2 linked regions of the Lonchura striata genome follow. The protein of the gene in region 2 binds, or shares a complex with, the protein of the main gene of each other region. Links are inferred from orthologs where the notes say so. Each region holds a gene or a part of one and is shown on either strand. Other genes may lie near its edges.

What was found. Proteins that work in one complex are often made in the same cells at the same time.
Region 1: the proteins of BACH1 (region 2) and FBXO22 are in contact, whole or in part, in a cryo-EM structure (PDB 8S7D), measured with the Homo sapiens proteins. The link is inferred for Lonchura striata from reciprocal best matches to the Homo sapiens genes BACH1 and FBXO22. Residues at the interface, in NP_001177.1 of Homo sapiens: Ser7, Val8, Phe9, Ala10, Tyr11, Glu12, Ser13, Ser14, Val15; in NP_671717.1 of Homo sapiens: Asp366, Gly371, Asn372, Phe373, Ile374, Leu375, Arg376, Lys377, Cys378.

The regions. Positions count from the first base shown.
Region 1 is NC_134613.1:4,671,461-4,678,742, reverse strand, and holds the start of FBXO22 (F-box only protein 22), read right to left. Parts: upstream 3,010-7,282; 5' UTR 2,956-3,009; coding exon 2,852-2,955; intron 2,763-2,851; coding exon 2,630-2,762; intron 1,676-2,629; coding exon 1,588-1,675; intron 1,266-1,587; coding exon 1,170-1,265; intron 324-1,169; coding exon 159-323; intron 1-158. Other genes in the region: UBE2Q2 (ubiquitin-conjugating enzyme E2 Q2), read right to left, coding at 4,668-4,699, 6,412-6,478, 6,917-7,012. UniProt on the Homo sapiens protein: Substrate-recognition component of the SCF (SKP1-CUL1-F-box protein)-type E3 ubiquitin ligase complex that is implicated in the control of various cellular processes such as cell cycle control, transcriptional regulation, DNA damage repair, and apoptosis.
Region 2 is NC_134604.1:4,185,196-4,192,534, reverse strand, and holds the start of BACH1 (transcription regulator protein BACH1), read right to left. Parts: upstream 3,014-7,339; 5' UTR 2,906-3,013; intron 1-2,905. UniProt on the Homo sapiens protein: Transcriptional regulator that acts as a repressor or activator, depending on the context. Binds to NF-E2 DNA binding sites. Plays important roles in coordinating transcription activation and repression by MAFK.

The DNA of each region.
Region 1 (7,282 bases), on a different chromosome or scaffold from region 2:
AGACTGAGAGGAGCAGAGATGCACAGACACCAGCTGGAGCCCCACAGAGGCTCTTGGAGCCAGTACAGAAGCTGCTGGTTCTACTCAGAACTCCAGACTGGCACTTCAGAGAGCAGCACCTCACAAAAGCCCACGTAAAGGAGAGAAAAATTACATACCTGCTTCAGCAAATTTGCTTTCATCAAAGACCCTGTTCTTCACATCTTTAGAAAAATGGAAGGTATGAATTTTCACCCCATCAATTTTGGGAAACAACAGAGCAAACCCAGCTTCGCCCTCTTCAATTTCTTGAGGCTGATTGCTACTTGAACCCATCGGGGTAACTACGGAGACAAAACCAAGGATCTGGTGTTCAGAGATTCTAATACAAGCATTTACACTAACACAGGCAGAAAGAGGTAGCTCAGGTGACATAAAACATGACAATCTAATTCCGTAACAACTTATCTAATTGAAAACTAACTTTTTTTTGTTAATGTTTTGGAAAGATGAAATGCTGGCTATGGATCATACTGAAGTCCGTTTTGACATGGAGACATGGATATATCTCCCCAGTCACACCAAATATAAAACATGAGGCAAACAAGAACAGTGCAATACAAGCCTTCCTGCCAACTTCTGCAAGCACACAGACATACTCAAGTTTTTAAGATGTCCTATAAGCATGTGATGACAGTATAAAGCAAAACTGACACAAAAATTGAGAGCGCATTATTAAAATATGGCAATGACAACAATCAAAATACCTTACTTATAATGTGGGAAGCAAATTTAAGGTGAGAAACCATAAAAAAACAAGTTTCTAATGATAAAAGTGGAGAATGAGAAAAAGCATGCCACAGGAGGCTGTGAACTTTCCAGTTACTGCATATGCCTCCTGCTAGACCATTTCCAACAGGTATATACTAGGATGCCCTCTACAGTTGGTCACAATATGACTGAAAATTATATATAAATCCAAGCAACATTCAGTAAGTACATTAAGGTGCCAGGGAAAGCTGCCTGCCTAACTGAATCAACCCTTTTAATTTTAACTGTAATACATGAAGTAAACACTACATCACTTAGTAGTGACACTGTGAACTCCTTAAAATTGAAACCAGTGCTGAACAGTGCTGAGATGACACCTTCAAGTTGACCTCTCAAAAACCCACACATTTTGCTCCTACCTACAATCCCTGGGGTGACCAGTCCAAGAACCTGACATCGCTTTGGCAACAACTTTTCAAGTGCGAGTGCTGTTTCTTTACTGTTCCTTTTTCTGGCTGTTAAAACAAGAAGAAACCAATACAACCATCAGACAGCAGTAAAAGTGTGCTCTGAGGCAATCCCACAGCCGATCCCATCCTGTTTAACCAATGCTGCCCATCCGTGGCTGCCCTGGTAACAGCACGCTGGTCTGTGCTGCTCCCTGAGAGCTGCCGGCAGGCAAACACGCAGCGTAAATGCAACACTACGCAGTCACGGATTCTGCAAAACATTTCCCTTCCACTGAAACCCAAACACAGAAAATTCCCTTTCAGCTGACTATGCTCTACTCACATCCAGTATGTCTTTAAGTGGGAGTGAGTTGGGTCCAGGCTTTACCTTTCTTTTGTTCGTGACACTCCTCGTGCCCGCTGAATGTCTCTGCATCAGCGATGTAGAGCACGGTCTGGGGCAGCACGTGCACCTTCTGCAAAGACACAGGTGGAGGAGTACATAGACAGGACTATAGTAAAAAAGGCAACCCCAACTAGGAAGAAACGATGATGTCTGGCTCCAGATCAGAAGGCTGAAGGACAGCTTTATAAAGTTACACTAGATTACACTAATATACTATTTAAAGAGCAACTATACTATTCTACATACGTACTTCTTACCTATCAACTAATTACCAACTAACAAACTTGTGACTGCCTGCTGAGAGTCCGAGCCACAGCTCAGTCCAGGTGGACACTGAACCCAAACAACCTTCACCAGAATCCAATCCAGCGATAAATTCAGGTAAACAATCTCCATACCAGATTCCACATGGGAAAAACAAAGGAGCAGAGATAAAGATTGTTTTCTCTTCTCTCTGAACTTCTCCTGAGAGACAGAATTACGTCTCTCTGTCCAGAGAATGTGAATGCCACAACAGGACAGAGTGGAGAGAAAGTGGGGGCAGAAACCGAGGATAAACAGCTCCTGCTCCACCGCCAGCCCATACTGGTCCCCTCCCCCTTACCAGACTCCTGCCAGCCAACAGATAACCTCTCATTAGCTTCAAAAGTGCCCAGAGGCATTTCTGCCCACAGGCAGGAAGCTGACCCAAACCTCACAGAAGGAAGAACAGCTCAGCAGACTGGCCCATGACTCTGTTTCCTCTTTTAGCACTATCTAAACTCATTGCATTCATGGTTGTTGGCCTCTACTGTCACCAGTGCTGATGCTGGTAAACAGCGTAGAGGTGCTTCCGGCCCATCTTGTCCCAGTTGATTTAACGCTGATCCGCTGAGGCTGTTTGCTGCTGAAGACCCGACACGAATCGTTGTGCGGTGAGGACCAGCAGCAGGCTGAACGGAGCGCTGCGGGCGGCGCAGTCCCGCGGCGTCGCTGTCCCAGCCCGCGCGTTCCGCCGCGCCCGGGGCGAGCCCGCGCGCCTCACCTCGAGCTCGCGCGCCAGCGCGCGCACCAGCGCGTGGTTCTCGGCGGGGCCCGGCTCCAGCGCCGACACCCACGCGATTCGCTGCCGCGTCCGAAGCGTCCGCCGGGCGCACTCCCTCCACAGCCGGCACACGCTGCAACACAACACCGACGCACCGCGTCAGCCGCGCCGCCCCCACCGACCGGAGCCGGCCGCCGCCCACCCCACTGTCCCGGCCCTTACCAGGCGGCGCGCAGCAGCGCCTTGGTGGGCAGGAAGCCGAGGACACGCTCCACCACCTCGGCGAGGTTGGCGAGGACGTAGCCGCCCTTCGCCGCGGAGTCCATGGCCCCGCCGCCTCCCCGGCCCCGCTGCCCCGCGTCACCGCGCCTACGGCAACTTCCGGTCAGCGCGAGCGGGGAGCCAGTGCACTGGCGCCGCCTGGCGGCGGGGAGGACCCGTCCCGCTCTCACCTCCCCCCTTCCCTCGCGCCCCGGGCCCCAGCACGGACACAGCGCTTCGTAAAATGCTTTTTATTCATAAACTTGATGCAAGTTTACAAATTACTGTACATTGCCGAGGAACTCTGCCAGAAGAAACGGAACCCCAACCGAAGCATGCGCCGCAGGGCGCAGGCCGGGGCCGCCCCAGCCCCGGCGCACCGGAACAACGCGCCCTGGGAGCGGCGCTAAACCTCGCCCAGCTCGCTTCTTTCGAGCTAAAAACTGGATCTACAAGCAAATGCACAAGGACCCGCGGGCGCCTGATAGAGAAAAGAGCATAAGTTCGATAGTCAACTAAAAAAAAAAACCAACATAAAAACATGCTTTTGCACTTCTGAAATGCTTAATCCATGGAACACACCCTTTGCTCGGCCCCGAGGAGTGCACACGCCTAAGGAATAGGAAGTACTACAACCAAAATAAGTCGATTCCGGTAAGGCAATGAAATTGTGTAAGTACACAGACCCAGACTCATCTCCTAATAAAGAAAGAACAGTTCCCATTAGTCTTTCAATAACAAAGCCACCGTCATGACTATGGCAGCATTTCTTACACCTCTAACTGGATGACATGTTTTCGTACTTTACTGTCGTTTTTATATAAAAAATTTTCATTCAAGGACTTTCATCTCATTTTGTGCCAATCACTTTATAAGTTCATTAGTTTAGAAATGATTGCAACAACCCGTTAATAAAATGGAACACCTAAAAAGGTTTTTAGTATTTTAAATAACTTCAAGCTTCATACTGTGGCTCTTGTTAAGGAGCTTGAGCCAACAAGTAGCAGGAACAGTCCAGCAAGTTCTGATGCCCCAGTGGACATGACTAGTTACAAGGTTTTATTGGCACAGCCTTGCTCTGCATAAAACCAAAAAACCAAAACAAAATTTAAAAAAACAAACAAAAAATTTAAAATAATCTAAACAAAGAGCATATTTTCCAATAAAAAGTTCATATTCTCATACAGCCATGAAAAATGTTTAATGACTTAACATACATGTGTTTTTCCTATATCATTAATTCGGAAAATACTACAAACGCTGTCATTTTAGACCAGAAAAACTACTGTGATTTGCAAGACCTGACATTTCCTAAAACAGTATTAAACAATGTATTAAACTTCTTGGCTTTAAATGAAACAATACAATGCAAGTCTCTGCAGTCTGCCTTTTGCAGAAAGTAAGAAATACACAGAAGTGTGTGAACAACTCACTCCTATTGTATGATCTTTAGTAAGTCAATAGCCTGCTGCAGGGAGAGTTTATGCTTTCAAATAAAAAAAGGGAGAAGGGAGGGTGTGGCCCAAATCTGCTTACTCCATAAGAACAAATATGGTAAAGGCCCAAACTGCTCAGTCCAGATGCCTAAGAGCGGAATGGTAAGGCTGTAACTTATACTGTACGTGTCAGTTGACAGAATATCCACTAACTTATCTAATAGCTAAAGTCCTCAGTACAGCTGTTATAGGGGCACTCATAGCTTGAGTCTGTGTGTTGGGAAACATAAAAAAGAGCTTGTTTTGTTGACATTGGTCCAGGTATACAACAGTCCTCAGCCTTAGCCATCTTCTTTTGGAGGAGTGTACCAGCCTGTGGAGAACAGAGAGATGTTAGGTACCAAAGCTGCTGTGTCCAGACCATCCTACTCTTCACCTGTGGGAGATGGAAGCCTAACCTGGCTCAGTCCTTCCCTCTTAAAGCAGGCCAGCTCAGCAAGACCCAGTGCCCTAAATGCGAGTAAGTCAGCAGTGCAAGACAAACTATGTGGCACATACCAGGATGTGACCTGGTATTTGGGTGTGCACACACAGATTTCTACAGCAGCAGCTATCCTGAGCTGGACAAGCGGAACACTAACAAGGGGAAGCTGCTGAAGGAGGAACATTGCTCTAACCAAACTTAACAGAAGAGAGGTAAAACCCACAAGTCTTCAAGCTACTTAAAACAGACATATAAACGTGACTGCACTGGGACACTTATTTTGAGTTCTGTAGAGTTAGGCATGCAGAAGCAACTGAATGGCTTATCCTACTTCTGCAAGTCTTACCATAGGAATAAGCTCAGAAATGTCAGATGGATAACTGGTCTCCTGGCCTAATTTGGCATGTTTAGCAGCTGAATCACACCTGATCAGGTGTGCACTGCTTTTTCTAGAGACCTCCAGAGCTCCAATCTTAATTCTCCCAGCCCCTCTTGTAACATTTCCTTTAAACGTGTACAGTAACTACAAGGCCTGTTTGTGCTGTCCCAGAGAGCAAATAGCACCTCTAAGCTTAAGACACCTTTCACAGCAGCACTGAGTACTGTGAAGGCTTTGTGTACAGATCCTGAGGCAGGACTGATCACTTGCAGCACATACAAGTAAACAGCCACGCTGGCTTTTGTAGCAGACGAAAAGGCAAAAGGCTCAGTTAACGGCAAGATCAAAATACTGTAAAATTTGAGATGATGTTAAATCATTATCTTTGATCTTCCTCCCAAGAGTACAAGGAACAAGTTATGTTCCATGTGAGCAGCAGGGAAGCTGAGGTGCTCACAAACACATTTACAATGACCTCAGTTCCTGGAGGACACTGTGTCCAACCCAGAGCCCTGAACAGCATGGAAGTGTAACTGCGCTGGCTCTATCATCAAAAGACCAGAGTATCAATTCTGCTGACTACCTTTATGTAACATGTAAGCTACTTAAACCTTTTATAGCCTCAAGCTTCTCATACTGCCACAGTAAATTCAATTGTACCTGAAGCATTTGTACACTTGTTTTATGCAGCAGAGATTTTAAAAAGCCCATACCAAAACACGCTTTTCCCTATTCTATTGTACACTTTCCCAGCTTGTACACCTCACTTGGACTTTTTGTATGTTTTAGTCTCGGGTCTTTTTTCCCTATTTTTTTTTTCTTTCATTAATGTTATTTCCACTAGGTTCTTGACACATTGAAACAAAATCTTTCAGGGAAAGGGATAAACTCCCAGCAGATACTTCACCAATATTAAAGAGTCCTTAATACTTAATGCTACAGTAACAATAAAGTCCCTAGATCAACTAGCTGAAAACAATACGCAGCTGCCTTTCAAGAAGCAGCAGGAACACACACAACATTCAAGTAAACTGGAAAAGTTGCAGTGATTGCAGTGAAGTTATTTAAGCACTACTGCTTTTCTAGTGCAAGAAGAAGGAAGAAACATTAATGGTCTTCCCAAGCCAAAATAAGACACTTTGTCACTTCAAGTTTCTCTGTGGCAAACACCAATTCCCAAGGTGCTGTGCAGACAAGAACAAAGTGGCAAGAATATACATACCATTTTTCTCATGTATTTGTACTAGTGACTTATAGGACTGCTGTGCTCTTGCTAGATTATATTGATTCTGAAAGGAGAAAAAACTAACATAAAAACCTGCATCTAGACATGAAGACTCAAAAACAGTTCTAACAAGGAAATTCTACAGTGGGCTTAAAAATAAACTCCATACACAATGTTATAACATTCCTGGCTTTCAGGATTCCCTTCTCAGAGCTGGAAATTCCAAATCTTCCCAATTCTAATCCTCCTTGCCTCCCCCTCCCTTGCCGATACAAGGACAGTAAAAGCCTACCCTGCCCATCCCAAGACTATCTAACTCATCTGCTTGTAATTACATAAAAAATGTTTAATTGCCAATAAAATACACATACAGGCACCCGCCAAGTTGAAATGCATATATATTTGCCATAACAATTTTGTCATTAAGCATCCTCAATGTGGGTCAGCAAGGAAATGGAATCCCAACAGGGATTTGTGTAACTAAGAAACACAGTACATTTACCTTATTGGCTCCAAACTGTACTCTGGCTTTTCCTTTGACTAAAGTGGCATTGATCTGCATGATGACTGATTCTATTGAGTAGGCACTGCTCCAGCCCTGGAGGAGGAAAAGAATGCCAACATACAACATATACTTGCTTCTTGTGCTCACCTTGCAAACCTGTTTTGGAACATGTGCTTTAGGATTTTTTTTCCTGCATTCAAGTTTTAACTACTTATTTTCAGTTAACATTTCTTTTCCACAGAAAATCTGTAAAATTATATACAGTCCTAGTACTAATAACTCGTAAGAAGAATGAAAAGGCTGAAGCACATTTCCAAAATATAGAAAGACAGAAACAAAAAAGCTCCATCCTTACAGCATTAA
Region 2 (7,339 bases):
GTGCTCATCCTGGAGAAGAGATGGCTCCAGGGAGACCTTAGAGACCCTGATAGTGCCCAAAGGGGCTCCAAGAGCTGGAGGGAAACTCTGGACAAGGGTCTGGACTGGCAGGACAAGGAGGAATGGTTTCAAATTTAAAGAAGGCAGGCTTAGCTATTAGAAAAAATCTGTTCTGTGAGGGTGGTGAGGCCCTGGCACAGGTTGCCCAGAGAAGCTGTGGCTGCCCCATCTCTGAAGTGCTCAAAGCCAGGTTGGACGGGACTTGGATCAACCTGTTCTAGTGGAAGCTGTCCCTGCCCGTGGCAGAGGGTTGGAAATGGATGATCTTTAAGGTCCCTTCCAATGCAGACCACTCCAGGATTCTGTGATTTGATGACCTTAAAAGCAGCATGAACAGGGCAAGCAACTGCCATATATTTACTTATCATAGTATTTGTCAATGGGCCAAGACTGGAATCCAAACACCTACAAACATTATGTTGACAGCTCAAATAAAGTCATTCACAAAGTATCTAAACACAATTTCTAACATTAATTAAATATTCTTTAAGACACAGGCTCTCATTTAAAGACATTTAGTTACTGATACCCTAGGCTACACCTCTTACACTCTCCAATGTATGTTTAATAATTAAACTCAATTTATTTGTATTTCAACAATGCTTCTACAGTTAATTTACCCTTCACAACACACTTTCCCCTTTTTAAAGCTTCAGTAGCTGATTGGTCAGTTGAGCCTTATTCTGACATTCTAACTCACTTTTATACCAAATACTACATTTTCCCTTCATACTTAACAAGAACAAAACTTCCTTCCATCCTTAAGAGTGACTTAACCAAAAAACACTGCATACTACTGGAAACAGAGTGACTTGTGATGCAGTCTTTGATTTGTTACAGCCAAATAAGCCTTTCCATCACTTTTAGTCCCCTCTCCAGACTGCTTACTTCTGAACTAGAGGTGTGGGCAGGGAAATCTGCAGGTGGATCGTCACACATTATCCCCACTGTGGTCACACTAGGCTGAATCTGCACGACTTAATGATTGGTTCAGCAGTTAATTTTGGCTCAGTCAATGTTTTGTTCCTACCCACACTTGCATCAACTAACACACCACCTCTGGTTCAACTAAGGACTACATATAAACAGGACTCACATTATGAATACCACAGTGTTGTCTCCTACTCCCCAGAACCTCCCCCATGAAACTTTCAGTGGTTGAATTCTACAGGACAATTAAAATCCCAGCATTCAGACTCAAACTGATCTGCCACTCTTCTTTGCCTCCACACCAGCATGCCCAGTGCAAAAAGAGAGGACTATGGTTAAAAGAAAACCCATTAAGTGTTTAAAGAAATACACTGATGATCAAACTTGGAAGGTGGGGATGATAATGACAAGGAGACTTGTTGAGCTGCGTTTCCCTGAACCATAGGGCAGAGTTATTTGGGACTTACAGAACTCATGTGCAAAGACCTGTCTATTCTACACCTAACAAGAGTGCCCACCTGATCCAAAGGATCAGGTAAAGGGTATGGGTTTTAACACTAGACCATTTCTACAATAAAAAAATTAATAGTGTTCGAAGTATCCTTTGCATAAGAATATTAGAACCGATTAAAAGCAATTAAACATTTAACACATTCAGATCTTCCATATTTTTACACATAAACTCAAAAGATACAGCTGATGGAAGCTAAAGCTGTACTTCAGCATTTTGGTTAAAATCAGGAGCGTGCTAGTGAAGCAAACTTCCCTAACACCCCATTTATCATGCTTTCATTCACATCACAAGATGAACCCAGACAACAATAGTAGGCTCTTTTTTTAAAGTAAATTGGAAAACACACTCTAGAAGTTCTCAAGAATGTCAAATACTAAGAGATTTAGAATCCTTCTGAAAAACACAGCGGGTATTCAGTTACCAGTGACAACTGTTTCTCCCTGCAAATCTTTCTGGTTTGGGCCTCACTGCTTGCTAAGGTACATACAAGGCTTACTCACTTGAGTTAGGGCATCCAAGAGTAATTATGCTATTTAAGTAATCTTTAAAGTTAAACTCGCATTACAAACCATATTTTGTGGTCTAATTCATACTCATCATGTTGACAGCAATATACTCCTTTCTTTTCTTGCTGTGAGGTGCAATATTTGAGATTAAAGAGCCAACTCTATATGCTAGAGCATTCAGAGTGCTGCATCACCTTAATTTACAGTGCTTCTGGATGGCAATTACTCCATTACTGCAGACAGGTGTATTTCAACACGGAGAAACTGCCTTCCTCAAGTGCCTCAAATTAACCTGTCAAAATTCACTCGACATACAGCTCCAGTGCTAGAACACTTTCTCCCTCCTTTTTTAGTTTAATAAAGATTTGGAAGACCGAGCTGCAGATGATTTTGGGATTACTGTCGGGCTAAAATAGATAACTGCTCTTTTGCGATTACCACCTTTCCACCGAGCCCCAAAACACGCGAAGGATCTCAGCGCACCGAGCAGGAGGGACAGGGTTTGTATTTCGTTGTTTACAGTCCAAAGCAGACCTTCGCCGGCTGCCCCCAAAGGGAAGCAAGCGCCGGCTGCACGCCTGAGCCCGGCAGCGCGGCCGAGCCCCCGGCGGGGCCGAGCCGGCCCTTTCGCAGAGCCGGGAGCGCGGCGGGGGCAGCCCTGCGAACCGGGGCACCGAGCCGGGAGGTCTCGGGGGAAGGGGCGACACCCTCAGCGAGCCGCCGCCGAGGGAAAGCCGCCGCTGCCGGAGCCTCCGCCACCGCCCCGCCCCGGGAGAAGGCCGCGCCGCCGGCCCCGGCCCCGCGGGCGCGCTGCGACCCCCGCCCCGCCGCCTCAGCGCCCCCGCCGCCAGCCCCTCGCGGCGCACGCTCCCGCCGGCGGCCGGCTCGGCGTTACCTCGGTGCCCGCCGCCGCGGGCCGGAGGGCAGCGGCAGCACCGCTGCCGCCTCAGCCGGTCCGGTCCCGTCCCGCCCGGGCCCCGCCGCTCCCGGCTCCGGCTGCGGCTGCGGCTGCGGCCCGACTGCGGCGCGCGCGTCAGGTGACCGCCCGCCCCCCCCCGGCGCGCGCACGCCCCGCGCACGCCCCGCGCGCCCATTGGACGCCGCGCTCGCCGCCGACGCGCGGCCGCCCACGCCGCCGCGCGCCGCCGCGCATGCGCGGCCCCGCCGGCGCGCGGGGCGGCTGCAGAGCGACGGGTCCTCGTCACTCTCCTCACACTCCTCACCCTCCTCACCCCTCCTTTCTCCTCCTCTCTCACCTCTCCTCACCTTCCCTCCTCTCCCTCCTCTTCCTCCTCTTCCTCCTCTTCCTTATCACACTCCTCACTCTCCTCTCCCTCCTCACCCCTTCTCTCCCTCCTCACCCTCCTCACCTTCCTCTCCCTTCTCTCCCTCTTCTCCCTCCTCACCCTCCTCACCTTCCTCTCCCTTCTCTCCCTCTTCTCCCTCCTCATCCTCCTCATCCTCCTCACCTTCCTCTCCCTTCTCTCCCTCCTCACCCTCCTCACCTTCCTCACTCTCCTCTTCCTCCTCACCCTCATCTTCCTCATCACACTCCTCACCCTCCTCACCCCTCCTCTCCCCTCCTCACTCTCTCCTCTCCCTCCTCACCTTCCTCACTCTCCCTCCTCACCCTCATCACCTTCCTCACCCTCATCACCTTCCTCATCCTCCTCTCCCTCCTCTCCTTCCTCACCTTTGTCACCTTCCTCACTCTCCTCTTCCTCCTCACCCCTCCTCACCCCTCCTCACCCTTCCTCTCCCTCCTCTCCCTCCTCACCTTCCTCTCCCTCCTCTCCCTCCTCTCCCTCCTCTCCCTCCTCTCCCTCCTCTTCCTCATCACACTCCTCACTCTCCTCTCCCTCCTCACCCCTTCTCTCCCTCCTCTTCCTCATCTTCCTCATCACACTCCTCACCCCTCCTCACCCCTGCTCTCCCCTCCTCTCTCTCTCTCCTCACTCTCTCCTCACTCTCCTCTTCCTCCTCTCCCTCCTCTCCCTCCTCACCCTTCTCTCCCTCCTCTCTCTCCTCACCTTCCTCACTCTCCCTCCTCACCCTCATCACCTTCCTCACCCTCATCACCTTCCTCATCCTCCTCTCCCTCCTTTCCCTCCTCTCCCTCGTCTCCCTCCCAAATCCACGTACCTCTTTATCCAAAGGCACCAGCCTCTTTCAGAAGCTCCTGCATAAAACACTAATGACAACCAATGAATGCACTGCCAAGACTGCTAATGGGAACTTAATTGTTAAGATATTTTAACCCAGTTTAATAATTTAGTGTGCCTTTGAATGATTTTTTTTAAATGACACACTGTTTTACGGGTATTTAAGTGTCCATAACTTTCTTCAGCTGTTTTTACAGTAGGCTTTCAGTTTTAGTACAGCCTAATATAGATTTTCCTTCAATGTCTATTTGCTAATGGCCTTCCACCTTGTTAAGAAGGCAGAATTTAATTACTTGTGTTTATGAGTTGGTCAACGTATTCACCAGAACAAAGACTTGCATCACAAAATAACTTAAGCAATTTGTTGGAATTTAAATTTAAGAGCAGCTGTTAGCTAATGATATCCAAAAAGTAGCATTTGTCTATAGTTTGGGTACTAACAATACTTGAGGTACTCTGAATCAAAGTTTCTATGCCTGCTTTTTATGTTTTCCATGACTTGTTGTCATGCTGTTAACATCTGTTGGGAATTCCTAATGCCCCAATAATCACACCTGAAGAGAGGAATAAAGACAACTGCTTAGATGGTAAAAACTGAGTTGCAGAAGTGTGAGATATTTACAATGTTTAAGCATAAAATTTAAAATGCCTACTACTAGACTGAAAGTTTTTGTTTTGTTTTTTTTTTTTTTTTTTTTTTTTTTTTTTTTTTTTTTGTCTTTCACAAGGAGTTTTATGGGGAAGAGAGGAAAACAGAAGAGGGAAGAAATGAATAAAAACAAAAGGAGCTCTTACTTTGGTTGAAAGATTGACTACAAAATCATGGACCGCACCCACCAAGAAGGGATCTTCATCTCCTGTTCTGGATCCTAGGGATGATGCAATTCTTGCTTCCCACACAATAGGGAGTGAAGTTACAGTGTAATAGCTTGGTTCTCACTCACAGTCAGACTGAAGAGCTGCAAAAGTACTTCCTGCGTTGAAATTAGACACAACTAGAAGAGGAAAAATACAAAAAACCAAAGTCCCATTTTTTTTTCCTAAAACGAAGAAGTAAAACCATTAAAAAGGAGATCTGGGAATCTAAGCTAAACATCAAGGACATACATCTTCCTGCAGATGAATAACAAATGCTTTAAGCATTTAAAACAATATAAAAGCTTAGGTGACAAATGCTCACAAGTTAGCGTGCATGATAACAAATAATAACAATATTACCAGAAGAAAGGAAGGGAAAATGTCTTTTTTTTTTTTTTCAATAGATTTTTTTTTTTCTGATACATTGGTGGCATTAATGGGACTTTAATTAGTCAGGCATCTCCATGGGGTAATTTTTCCCTTTCTGTGGCTGCTGTCTGAGACAGGTGTGGTGAAACTCCTTTTGGAGATGCCTGTCCCATGCTTTTGGGTGGAAATGTGTCTAACTGGGTCAGGCCACAGACATAGCTCCCAGATTAAACCTATGGCCACATAGTTCTGCAGGATGCTGCCATCAGAATCCTTCACAGCAAAAGTGCTGGGGAATCGTTAGGAAAAATTAATGTTCAAAGCCCATCTTCTAGTTTCACAGGGGCTGACAACCCTGTTGCACATGTGGCCACATTAAATATGACTTCTGTAGGCATCATATATAAAATTCGTCCATTTTACATTCCAATAAATGAAAGCCAAACCACTCCCTCCTGTGAACTTGCAAACACAAAAGCTGTTTTCTAATCTACATTTAGATAACATTTTCTAACTGTAAATTGAGCTATCAAGGAGCTACTGTGGTATGTGTCTAAGTGATTGAAACCTCAGGGCTGTGTCAATATGTATGAGGTGAAAAACTGACTCTTATTTTAAAATGGTTTTTGAAGCCTTTGAACACATTATTTTAGAATTTATTTCCATACCGTCTTCTGCTGTATGTGTGTAATACTGTTCTAATCCTTGGGAACACACATGCTTATTTTTTTGTGGTTTCTGGCTTACAAAAGTCTTTTGTTTGTCCTGGGAAAGCATGGTGTTAATCATAGGAAAATATTTTTACATTCCCTCTTTACAAAAAATGAGAAAAAAATGCTTTCTATCTAGAAGTAAATCCTGTTCTAGTAAACTATCTTTTAAAATGCAATTGTAATTTTAATTCTCTTAAACCTACTGCTAATATGGTCCAGACTCACATAAAATGAAAATTGGTGTCCCTTTTTTTTCCTCTCTAGATATAATTTTTAAAACCATCATCCTTAAATTAAGCAGTAATATTTCAATGGGAAAAAAAGGGGCTTCTTTTCTTTAATAGAATGAGAATTATTTTTGATTCTGCGAGAAGGGATATAAACCATGTGTAAACAATGGCAAAAAGGTGGGAAACAAAGGGGCTAGCTGTGGAAAATAAGAGTTCTGCTTAGATAGGCTGCACGAGCTGTATGAAAAGACCAAAGAATGAGAATTGCAGCAGGATAGCTAAAAAAGCCTCCTAAGAATACTTAAATGAGGAAAATTATTTATTAATGAAAAATAGATTTGCTTCCTGGAAGCTTGGAGTAAACACTGCCAGTGGCTGTAATTTTGTCAAACAGCAATGCCTGAGCTGATGGATCTGGGAGAAGACCAGAGGTGTTCAGGAGGTGAAATTACTGCAGCCAGGCTGTCCAGACCAGGAATTTTCACCCAGCAGCTCTCTTGAACCCTGTGAGGAAATGCAGGTACATGTGGGGAGCCCAAAATATGTCATGCAGGGCTTGATGAGCGTTTCCAGCCTCGAGTCCTGCTGTGGGATCACACCTGGGAGGGCTCTGGTTGAATTAAGTCCCTGTGGCAGAAAACTGCTGAGCCCGAAACCAGCATATTTTTTTTTTTTTTCCAGCATATCCACACACGGACTGATGGAAACACCAGGAATTTGGGAAGGTGGAGGGAGACCTGGTGAAACACCTGATGCTCAGGGGACTGAGGATGTGCATTCCCAGGACCACAGGCTGAGTGCATAACAAACCCCACCGTGTTCACGTGAAGGGGTCACACTGGGGAAAAGAGTCATCTCTCCACAAAACAAACTGCTAGGGTGGGAAGAACCCATCTCTTGAATTTATAATACAGTCTATTGAGAGGCTCCTGAAGTAGCAATTGGTGATGACCCCTCTGCATATGCTTAGTTTAGGAGAACTAATTGCTGGTAGTGC